Linked DNA regions of Drosophila melanogaster. The protein of the gene in region 1 interacts with the protein of each later gene in a biochemical or structural test. Each region holds a gene or a part of one and is shown in the gene's direction. Other genes may lie near its edges.

The links. Proteins that work in one complex are often made in the same cells at the same time.
Region 2: the proteins of Su(var)205 (region 1) and His3:CG31613 form a complex in vitro, tested with the Drosophila melanogaster proteins (9 studies listed by BioGRID, with this or other methods).

What each region holds. Positions count from the first base shown.
Region 1 is NT_033779.5:8,207,003-8,213,011, reverse strand, and holds Su(var)205 (suppressor of variegation 205), read left to right. Parts: upstream 1-1,889; 5' UTR 1,890-2,168; coding exon 2,169-2,282; intron 2,283-2,345; coding exon 2,346-2,462; intron 2,463-2,538; coding exon 2,539-2,659; intron 2,660-2,908; coding exon 2,909-3,177; 3' UTR 3,178-3,386; downstream 3,387-6,009. Other genes in the region: CG8372 (uncharacterized protein), read left to right, coding at 303-893; Ssb-c31a (single stranded-binding protein c31A), read right to left, coding at 1,178-1,453, 1,510-1,566; CG8419 (uncharacterized protein), read right to left, coding at 3,741-4,358, 4,414-4,562, 4,616-5,174, 5,237-5,485, 5,543-6,009. UniProt on the Drosophila melanogaster protein: Structural component of heterochromatin, involved in gene repression and the modification of position-effect-variegation. Recognizes and binds histone H3 tails methylated at 'Lys-9', leading to epigenetic repression.
Region 2 is NT_033779.5:21,422,677-21,427,693, forward strand, and holds His3:CG31613 (histone H3), read left to right. Parts: upstream 1-2,516; 5' UTR 2,517-2,573; coding exon 2,574-2,984; 3' UTR 2,985-3,045; downstream 3,046-5,017. Other genes in the region: His1:CG31617 (histone H1), read left to right, coding at 1-108; His2B:CG17949 (histone H2B), read right to left, coding at 515-886; His2A:CG31618 (histone H2A), read left to right, coding at 1,113-1,487; His4:CG31611 (histone H4), read right to left, coding at 1,962-2,273; His1:CG33804 (histone H1), read left to right, coding at 4,399-5,017.

The sequences.
Region 1 (6,009 bases):
AAGAATTTGTCAACTTTGCGGAGTTGAAAATTTCGTGTGACTACGTTTGTACGTGGTCTCTGGATCCCCCTTTCAGACGCCTCTGCCATACAGCAATGCTTTCCAACACTGTCAATCTCCATGTCAATAAATACTGAGGTAGATGTGAGTGAACTGCGACTGCTTTATTTTCTCCTTATCGTACAATTAAAGCCCAATTGGAATTGTTAGCGACTCGTTTCATGGGCATTACGGCCGGGAAGACCGTGAGTGACTGTTCTTGTGGCTTCCCCGCACAAATATCAACCTAATACAGTGTAATAATGTCGACAAACCCAAGTCCGCAGCGGCAACAGTCCGAGGACGTTCAGATCTCGATGGCCAGTTCCGGAGGAGGAGCCGGCAATGGCGTTCCGGATAGACTGCCTCCGATCAACGTAAAGGACCAACGCTTCCCCTACTGCATCGTTTGGACTCCCATTCCGGTTCTCACCTGGCTGATGCCCATGATCGGACATATGGGCATTTGCACTTCGTCCGGTGTGATTCGTGACTTCGCCGGCCCCTACTTCGTATCAGAGGACAACATGGCCTTTGGAAGACCCACCCGGTACATAAGGTTGCACCCCAAGCACATGGTGGGCGGCAGTTACGCCTGGGACGAGGCGGTCTCCAAAGCATCTGTGCTCTACGGCACCCGCATCCACAATATCTTCTGTGACAACTGCCACTCGCATGTGGCAACGGCACTCATCTACATGCGCTACTACGACAGCACCGCATGGAACATGATTATCCTCAGCATGTGGCTCTTTGTCTGCGGCCGCTACGTCGGAATAGGGGGTTTTATTAAGACCTGGCTGCCGTTTGCCATTCTCCTGTCCATCTTCACCATTCTGGGCATCTATTTTTAATATTCATATCTATATCAAATGCTATCAATGTACAAATCTATGTACATATGACGTCCAATAAAGGATTCATTCATTTATGTATATGTGTGCTTTTTGTAGTCCCACCACAAAGCAGATAAGGAAAATACCTATCAGGCAATTAAGTTGGTCATTCATTAATGCTTCAGCAACTGTGAAAATACAGATTTTCAATTACTAGTGTTTAAGATAACGTTTATTCAGTGGATATGTCTATAGTTAGTACATATGGCTACGACTTAGTTTGGCATGTGGATGAACTTCAATTAATTCTCGATCGCGCGGGTGACTTCTTCGGCCACTTCAAGGAGTTTCTTCCATTGAATTAAAGATAGGGAGATGCCCTTCTTGCCGGGAAGAATTTGGCCGCCCTTATCGTAGAACTCTCGAATGTCCACCGATTTGCGACCGCGGAACTCGTTGATTCGCACCTGGCGAAGTCCTTCCAGGGTCCAAGATGTAGCACCATTTTCGCCCGAATCTTTTGGATCTGAATTTGGAGCATCAGATTCCTTCGCCTTCTTGCTTGCCGGCTTGATACGCTGAAAGAGGTTTTAACTTGTTATACCTAGTTTTGGTGTATTTCTAGTTAACTTACATCATCTGGACCGCTATCGCTATCTGAGGACGAATCCTTCTTCTTTGTTTTGGGCATTTTTATAGAATTTCCGTAAAACAGAAGAAACAAAACGCAAATTGTCAAAAAATTCGTGAATATTCGCGCAACTTATTCAGTGCTGTGAAACGCGTCGATAATAGTTGTGGTACAACGGATTCCTTAATCGATTCATCGATTTATTACAAAATTTTTAAAAACAGATATTGGCGATCAGTTAGTTACGTTATTATTATAGTTATGTTGTAAAATTTAGATAGTTCTTAGTGTTAACATTTTTCTAGACTTAAAATGAAATTAATACGATGTGCAAATCTATCGGAAAATAGATAAGCGTAGTCTTAGCAGTCCACGCGTACTTTCGCACACTGTTCGGCCGGCGTCATTTTAGAACGCGCATTTTTTTGCAGATTTTTCATTTTGTGGAAAGTCTTCTAGCGCCAACACACAGGCTTATAAAAACCAATTTAGCTGCGTGCATAAAGTGTAGATCTTATTTAATCTAGGTGAGCCATGAAAGCAAAGAGAGTCGACTAAAAATCGTACTTTCCTTTCGTACTTTGCGTGTGTGTGCGGTTGTGTGCGGTTGTGCTAATTCTTTCCTTATTTTTTGTCGTGTGAAGTATTTTAATAAAAACAAAATGGGCAAGAAAATCGACAACCCTGAGAGCTCGGCAAAGGTTTCCGATGCCGAAGAGGAGGAGGAGGAGTACGCCGTGGAAAAGATCATCGACAGGCGGGTGCGCAAGGGAAAGGTGAGTTTTCCGAACCAGACGTCCCATTATATTTGGTCCTAAAACGCCATTTTCCACCTGCAGGTGGAGTACTATCTGAAATGGAAGGGCTATCCCGAAACTGAGAACACGTGGGAGCCGGAGAACAATCTCGACTGCCAGGATCTTATCCAGCAGTACGAGGCGAGCCGCAAGGATGAGGTAAGTGAAGTACAATGCGATGCCAAGTACAGTTGTGCTTGCTAGGATTTCCTTTACATCTCGTTTCGGTCCGTAGGAGAAGTCAGCCGCCTCCAAGAAGGATCGACCCAGCAGCAGCGCCAAGGCCAAGGAAACTCAAGGACGCGCCAGCAGTTCGACGTCCACAGCAAGCAAGCGAAAGTCCGAAGAACCAACAGGTAAGCTATGGAATTGAGTGTACCTACAAATATTTTCTGTACACAAATTGGTATAACAATAGTCATCACCTACAATATCCACTGGCATTTATTTGCCCTTTTCGTCAAAACTGTATTCACATATGTATCTCAAATTTTGTCCTTCGCAAGAATGGCATGCGCAAGAAAAAGATGGTCTTTGCAATAAAAAAATGCATCTATTAAAAAATTGCACTGTATTAATTACTTGTTTTTATTTTATTTATTTAGCGCCCTCTGGCAATAAATCAAAACGTACCACAGATGCGGAGCAGGACACCATTCCCGTTTCAGGATCTACCGGATTCGATCGCGGCCTGGAGGCCGAAAAGATCTTGGGTGCCTCCGACAATAATGGCCGCCTGACATTCCTCATTCAGTTCAAAGGCGTGGACCAAGCAGAAATGGTGCCCTCCTCAGTGGCCAATGAAAAAATCCCACGAATGGTAATCCACTTCTACGAAGAGCGCCTATCCTGGTACTCTGATAATGAAGATTAAACAGTTGGATCATCGAAAGCGAAAAAGAACGATTATACATTTAACGAAAAATTACCCACTTAGAATTATAGCTCCTTGCAGGCGCTTTCAAAACCACCCAACCAACTCTTAAGGCATCGGACTTTTTTCCATAAATGTCCAGAGTCAGTGTCTGTATTTATGATAACCATTTTCAATAAATAAAAAAAACCTTTATTCTGCTGGAGCCTATATAAGTAACTTTTATTTGCGACTTGTTGCTCAACGGTCAGGATATGACGCGCATATGCTGACCATATGGTAATAAGGAGAATTCAATTGGTAATTCCAGAGGTCGAAAGGGATTTTGTAGCCTTAGCAATCTGAGATTATTGTGTGCACATTGTAAATGGACTGTCGGGTCTGTTGGAATGCATGTATTTTGCAGGTAGAAAAACGTTTATTTTGAAGTATCCTTGTTGTCTATCTGCGCGTGCGTATAAACTACAAGATCTTTGAAATTTCACAAGATGAACAAACAAAATGGCGAAACCTGGCTATATGTTAATTTATTCGTTTTATAGCCCTGCATCCTAATCAATTACTTAAGAATTAAGCAGTTTGTTGGCCACATTGCATTCCGAGTTCTCAAGGACATTTCCACAGCAGGACCAATGACGTCTCCCTGGATGTCCAGCATGTCCATGACCGCAGCCACTATATCCAGGCATATGACCCTCACACGAGCACATCACGTTCCGGTTGCCCTTTCCGGAACAGAAGGAGCAGCAGTGGTAGATGCCCGTATGCGGACGAACCTGTCGCGCTTGAAAAGTGAAAGGACCTCCCTTGATGGGCCGGTCGTTAATGGTGATCGTGAGAATCAACGTGCCCTGGGCATCCGGGGTGAAGGATATGTTGTAGGTGCCATCACGATTGTCCGACACCTCAACGGGTAGAAACTTGGAACTGGAGTCCTTGTACTTCAGCATGCAGTTGATCTCCAGGCCACCGTGGCAGAGGGAAACCCCGTCGGCATCTCTAGAGTGAAGCAGAAGATCCGCTTTTTTGTGGAGGCGCAGCTGTGAAAATCCCTCCCACTCAAGGGTGCATAGACTAGGCTCCACTACCTGCATGGTGATGATGCCATATAGAGGGATATCGCGCTGGTCCTTTGTCGACGGAGCACGGATTTTTGGTAGGAAGTGAAGCGAGTCGGATATCTGGGTAAAATGGTTTACTTTATAAAACAATAAAACAAGCAATTTGGTAACCTACCTTGGGATCCACAGGCGGCTTAAATTGCTGACAGTACTCCAAACGCCTTAGAAGTATAGTCACATAACTCAGAATCTCTACATCAGCACCAATCTCGCACAGCTCTTGGCTAAATCTAACCGCATCCATGGCCTGCTGAGTGCGTTTCTCTACAGGACTACGTCAGATAACTAGAGCTTTAACCAAATGAAATATGTCTTACCCAAATCAAGTTGCTGCTTGAGCACTACCTCCACTTTGGACTCCCTAGCTCTGCTGATTTGCTGGAGCAGAGTCTTGCGATGGACTGTCAGGGCATCCATGTACTGCTGCATGTACCGCTCCACTTGAGTCTGGATGTCGTCACACCGGTCGTTGATTCCACGTGCTATGGCATTCAACCTCTCAATGGAGTGCTCCGCATATTGACAGAGGGGACGAGTTTGATCCGTAGCTTCTTTGAGTAGTTTACCCTGATGTCCAATTGCCCGGGATATGGTCTCATGTCGATGGCCTTTATGAAGGATCACCAAACAGTCGGTGCATGCCAGTTGACGGCAGTTGGTGCAAAATGCCTTCAGCTCAAAGTTGGTATGGATTCCGCATCGTAGCACTAGTTTGCTACTATCTCCCAATCCCATCTGCTGTTGCTTTTGCTTCCTGGCGCGTCTAAGTTCCAGGATGCTTCTCATTCGATGGCTAGCGGTGCTCCTTTGCCTTTCGTGTGCCTCCTTGCACAAGGTGCAGAGGTTTAAAGTGCAGCTAATGCAGTGGTAGGTGGCCTGGAAAAGATTATACGCTTTTAGACAGCCTTCAAATCACTTAATGACTTCGTCCTCCTTACGCTAATCTCCTCTGTGCAAAGAGAACACCAGACCCTGGAGATTACATCCTCCCCAGCCTGTAGTCGCAAGACCTCTATGCGTCTCACTAGCAAGTAGTTCTGTGGAAGCTGACGTACTCCACCTAACGAAAGATCCGTGGGATAGTTACAGGTATGACAGCGGATGCAGCGGGTGGATACCTCGCTGGCAAAACTTCCGGTGAATCGGGTACCGATGGAACTGGTCGATCGCTTTCCGTCACTCTTGGACTGTTCGAATAAATTGGGTTTTATAGGACATAACCTCTTTGTATCTTGCTATCTTACCCTTATCACTAGGCGATCCATGGACTTCTTTCTTCTCAATGTAAAACTGGAACCTCGCTGCCTGGCGGGTGATACTGTCGCAGTAAGTTCCGCACTAGATCCACCCATCTCCGATCTTAGACTGTAATTCGAGGGCTCCTCACTGCGAGCTTGATCCTGATCCCACAAAGATTCGTCCTTAAAGTTCTCGCTGACCAGACATTGGAGACAAAAGGAATGCAAGCAATGCAGTGTCCTGGGATCTGTGTAAACATCCAGGCAGATGCCGCACTTGAGATCATCTGTGAAGATTACGGTGTTCTCGGGAGGGGTACTCGGTCTGAGAGTAATGCTGGGTGATGGTGACACGGGGGGAGAGATTCCGGGAGATCGTGAGGGACTTCTGGTCAGTGGTGAGGGTGCATCAAAGACCTCTGGTCTTGGAGTCAGTGAAAGCAGAAGTTGAGTTGGCATCTGGACCTGGGGTT
Region 2 (5,017 bases), about 13 Mb from region 1:
AAGGCAAAGCCAGCGGTGTCTGCAAAACCCAAAAAGACGGTGAAGAAAGCATCGGTTTCTGCTACCGCCAAGAAGCCGAAAGCGAAGACTACGGCTGCCAAAAAGTAAATTGTGAAAAAGTGCAGTATTTGGTACATGTTCGCAATTAAAATTTTAGATTTATGATTTATAGATCTGAAATTTGTTTAAACAAGTCCTTTTCAGGGCTACAACGTTCCGTTGCAAGAGAAAAAAACTTTTATTTTCTTCCACTTATTTATTAGCTGACGTTCGCAGCAACAATAAAACGTTTCATGTCATGAATTACATTGCATGTTGGTCGCATTCAGTTTTCGTTCCCGATTTTTTTGTATTTATTTGAACATTACCCAATTACCCATATTGCGGGTAAATAAGTTTTATTTGTAAATTCATATTCGATGATTGGTAGTTGAAAAATGCATTTCTTTGGTATAACACATTGTGGCCTTGAAAAGGGCCGTTTTGGATTATTGTCCGCATTCGCAGGAGAAAATTATTTAGAGCTGGTGTACTTGGTGACAGCCTTGGTTCCCTCACTGACAGCATGCTTGGCCAACTCTCCAGGCAAAAGCAGGCGAACAGCCGTTTGGATCTCCCGACTGGTGATGGTCGAGCGCTTGTTGTAGTGAGCTAGACGAGACGCTTCGGCAGCAATTCGCTCGAAAATATCATTTACAAAGCTGTTCATTATGCTCATCGCCTTCGACGAAATTCCGGTGTCAGGATGGACCTGCTTGAGAACCTTGTAAATGTAGATGGCATAGCTCTCCTTCCTTTTGCGCTTCTTTTTCTTGTCGGTCTTGGTGATGTTCTTCTGAGCCTTGCCAGCCTTCTTGGCTGCCTTTCCACTAGTTTTCGGAGGCATTGTTCACGTTACTTATATTTTCACAAACACAATTCACTTATCGTAATGTGGGCCCGAACGCGTTCACGTTTATACTTTTTTTCGAGCAGTCAATTCAGGTCTAAGTCACCCACCCCTAACTGAATGCGCAGGCAAACGGAAAAGTATAAATATTTCGCTGTCTGGGTTAGGCGAGCATTCGTGTTCCGTGCGTAAAGTGAACTAAGTGAAATAAACGCAAAGCAAAATGTCTGGACGTGGAAAAGGTGGCAAAGTGAAGGGAAAGGCAAAGTCCCGCTCAAACCGTGCCGGTCTTCAATTCCCTGTGGGCCGTATTCACCGTTTGCTCCGGAAGGGAAACTACGCAGAGCGTGTTGGTGCAGGCGCTCCAGTTTACCTAGCTGCCGTAATGGAATATCTGGCCGCTGAGGTTCTCGAGTTGGCTGGCAATGCTGCTCGTGACAACAAGAAGACTAGAATTATTCCGCGTCATCTGCAACTGGCCATCCGCAACGACGAGGAGTTAAACAAGCTGCTCTCCGGCGTCACAATTGCACAAGGTGGCGTGTTGCCTAATATACAGGCTGTTCTGTTGCCCAAGAAGACCGAGAAGAAGGCCTAAACGTTTCAAAGGCTAAGCTAAAAACCTACATGTACATAAAATCGTCAATCAAACCGTCCTTTTCAGGACGACCAAATTATTACCAAAGAATTGAAAAATTTTTTAGCTTGGCAATTTGTTGTAATTAGTAAATCATAAAGAATTATTAACGTAAAGATGGTAATGTAGTAAGGGTTTTCTACTATATGCGGTATAAACTATAATTTGCTTCTTTAAACAATCGCACACCACGATGTGATGCTGTACATGCGGTGTCTGAAACCATTTGTACAGTCTGTACAAATCCATGTTAGAAATACACATTCTATTTAAAAGAGTACGAACGACAGACATTTATTTTTAGTTTAACATATTTTTTGGGAGTCCCGACCAATAAAATTAAATACTTTTTGAAAATCTTCCTCCTTTTAAAAACTGAATGGTGGTCCTGAAAAGGACCGATTGCTTAATAGGGGTACACAGGATGTACACTTTTTAACCGCCAAATCCGTAGAGGGTGCGGCCTTGCCTCTTCAGAGCGTACACAACATCCATGGCTGTAACTGTCTTCCTCTTGGCGTGTTCCGTGTAGGTCACGGCATCACGAATTACGTTCTCCAAGAAAACCTTCAGAACGCCACGCGTTTCCTCGTATATGAGTCCAGATATGCGCTTCACACCGCCTCGACGGGCCAAACGGCGGATAGCAGGCTTCGTGATACCTTGGATGTTATCACGCAGCACTTTGCGATGACGCTTGGCGCCACCCTTTCCCAAGCCTTTGCCTCCTTTACCACGACCAGTCATTTTTCACTGTTCTATACTATTATACACGCACAGCACGAAAGTCACTAAAGAACTAATTTCAACGTTTCTGTGTGCCCCTATTTATAGGTAAAACGACAAAAACCCGAGAGAGTACGAACGATATGTTCGTTCGCTTTTCGCTCGTCAAATGAAATGGCCTCCGTTTTTCTCTCTCTCTCTCTCTCTCTCTCTTTCACCGTCCACGATTGCTATATAAGTAGGTAGCAAATGCTCTGATCGTTTATTGTGTTTTCAAACGTGAAGTAGTGAACGTGAACTTTAGTGAAACCCAAATCGGAGATGGCTCGTACCAAGCAAACTGCTCGCAAATCGACTGGTGGAAAGGCGCCACGCAAACAACTGGCTACTAAGGCCGCTCGCAAGAGTGCTCCAGCCACCGGAGGTGTGAAGAAGCCCCACCGCTATCGCCCTGGAACCGTGGCCTTGCGTGAAATTCGTCGCTACCAAAAGAGCACCGAGCTTCTAATCCGCAAGCTGCCTTTCCAGCGTCTGGTGCGTGAAATCGCTCAGGACTTTAAGACGGACTTGCGATTCCAGAGCTCGGCGGTTATGGCTCTGCAGGAAGCTAGCGAAGCCTACCTGGTTGGTCTCTTCGAAGATACCAACTTGTGTGCCATTCATGCCAAGCGTGTCACCATAATGCCCAAAGACATCCAGTTAGCGCGACGCATTCGCGGCGAGCGTGCTTAAGCTGACACGGCATTAACTTGCAGATAAAGCGCTAGCGTACTCTATAATCGGTCCTTTTCAGGACCACAAACCAGATTCAATGAGATAAAATTTTCTGTTGCCGACTATTTATAACTTAAAAAAAATAAGAACAAAATTCATATTCTATTATTTATGGCGCAAACGGTACTGGGTCTTAAATCATATGTAAAAATACTAATTCTGCCAGAGAAGGAATAAAAATAATCTTATTTTAATTGTCAGCTCAACATTTATTAAATTAAAGAAGAGGTTAATAAATATAAAATATATATAAAAATATATATTTTTATTTGTTCTTTGTGCGAACATCCTTTAAAGCAGTGAAAGTGTCGTGCGGGGCAAGGGACTCTGAACCTTAAACATCTAAAAAAAAATCTGAATTCTGTGTAAGACAGTTTGAAATTAATGAAATTACATTGATGACGGCAATATTTATAAAATAACAGAAAATAATAAAATAAAACTAGCTATTTTATATTTTTTCCATGTGTTAACTGAAGAAAGTGTTATTATTGAAGAGGTCGTACGGGACAATTGACACTGTCCCTTCAAACGCCTGTAAAAAATAAAACCTATGTAAAATTCAGCACGGAAATTGGCTAATTTTGTTGCGGAATGTAATATATATTACATAATAAAGGATAATACAAAAATTGTTTCTTTTTATTTTTTATTTGATTTATTTATTTGACTACATAGACGGTAATGCATATGTGGCGAGGAAATCGATTGATTTCAGAACAAATTATTTTAAAATATGCATGAAAACACATTAATAACAAGCAAACACATTAATAATTTAAGAAAATATTATTTATTATATTAATATTATGTTATTTAAGAAAGTATCTGTATTTTTAACGATCGAAAATTATTTCTGAATGCTGCTTTAAAGCAAATTTTTCTGTAGTTCAATGTGAACTTAAATCAAGTAATAAAGTATCTTAATTAATAATAGACGCTTCTTTCAGAAGCCCTTCTAGGGGATGAACGTTTCAATTTTAATAAACATAACGAATTAGTGAAATATTTGCAATGATTCTTATTTTATTAGATGTTTTTTTATAAATTGGTCCAGTTAAAAATTTGAATATAAAAATTCAATCAACATTTGAAAGTCTCAAAACCCATATTACATCCTTTTAAAAATGGAAAGTGACGAAAAAATTATTTAAAAGTGTAGAACTATTAAAACCTTATTTTTATTAATGATTTAAAATACTAAAAAATTAATAAAAGTTTACACTTCAAGCAAACTTTGACATAGTAAATGACTGATGTCAGTAGCATTGTTAAAGTGCTCTCCTCCTCGATTCTCATCAGAGCAAAGGAGGTTGGTAGGCAGCGCGCGAGCCATTTTTAACAGAAAAAAAGTGTTCTCAGTGAAAAAAAGATGTCTGATTCTGCAGTTGCAACGTCCGCTTCCCCAGTGGCTGCCCCACCAGCGACAGTTGAGAAGAAAGTGGTCCAAAAAAAGGCATCTGGATCTGCTGGCACAAAGGCAAAGAAAGCCTCTGCGACGCCGTCACATCCGCCAACTCAGCAAATGGTGGACGCTTCCATTAAAAATTTAAAGGAACGTGGCGGTTCATCACTTCTGGCAATCAAAAAATATATCACTGCCACTTATAAATGCGACGCCCAAAAGTTAGCGCCATTCATCAAGAAGTACTTAAAATCGGCCGTGGTCAATGGAAAGCTTATTCAAACTAAGGGAAAGGGTGCATCTGGATCTTTCAAACTGTCGGCCTCTGCCAAGAAGGAAAAGGATCCGAAGGCAAAGTCGAAGGTTTTGTCTGCTGAGAAAAAAGTTCAAAGCAAGAAGGTAGCCTCTAAGAAGATTGGTGTCTCCTCCAAAAAAACTGCCGTTGGGGCTGCTGACAAAAAGCCCAAAGCTAAGAAGGCTGTGGCTACCAAAAAGACTGCCGAAAATAAGAAAACTGAGAAGGCAAAAGCCAAGGATGCCAAGAAAACTGGAATCATAAAGTCGAAGCCCGCCGCAACAAAGGCGA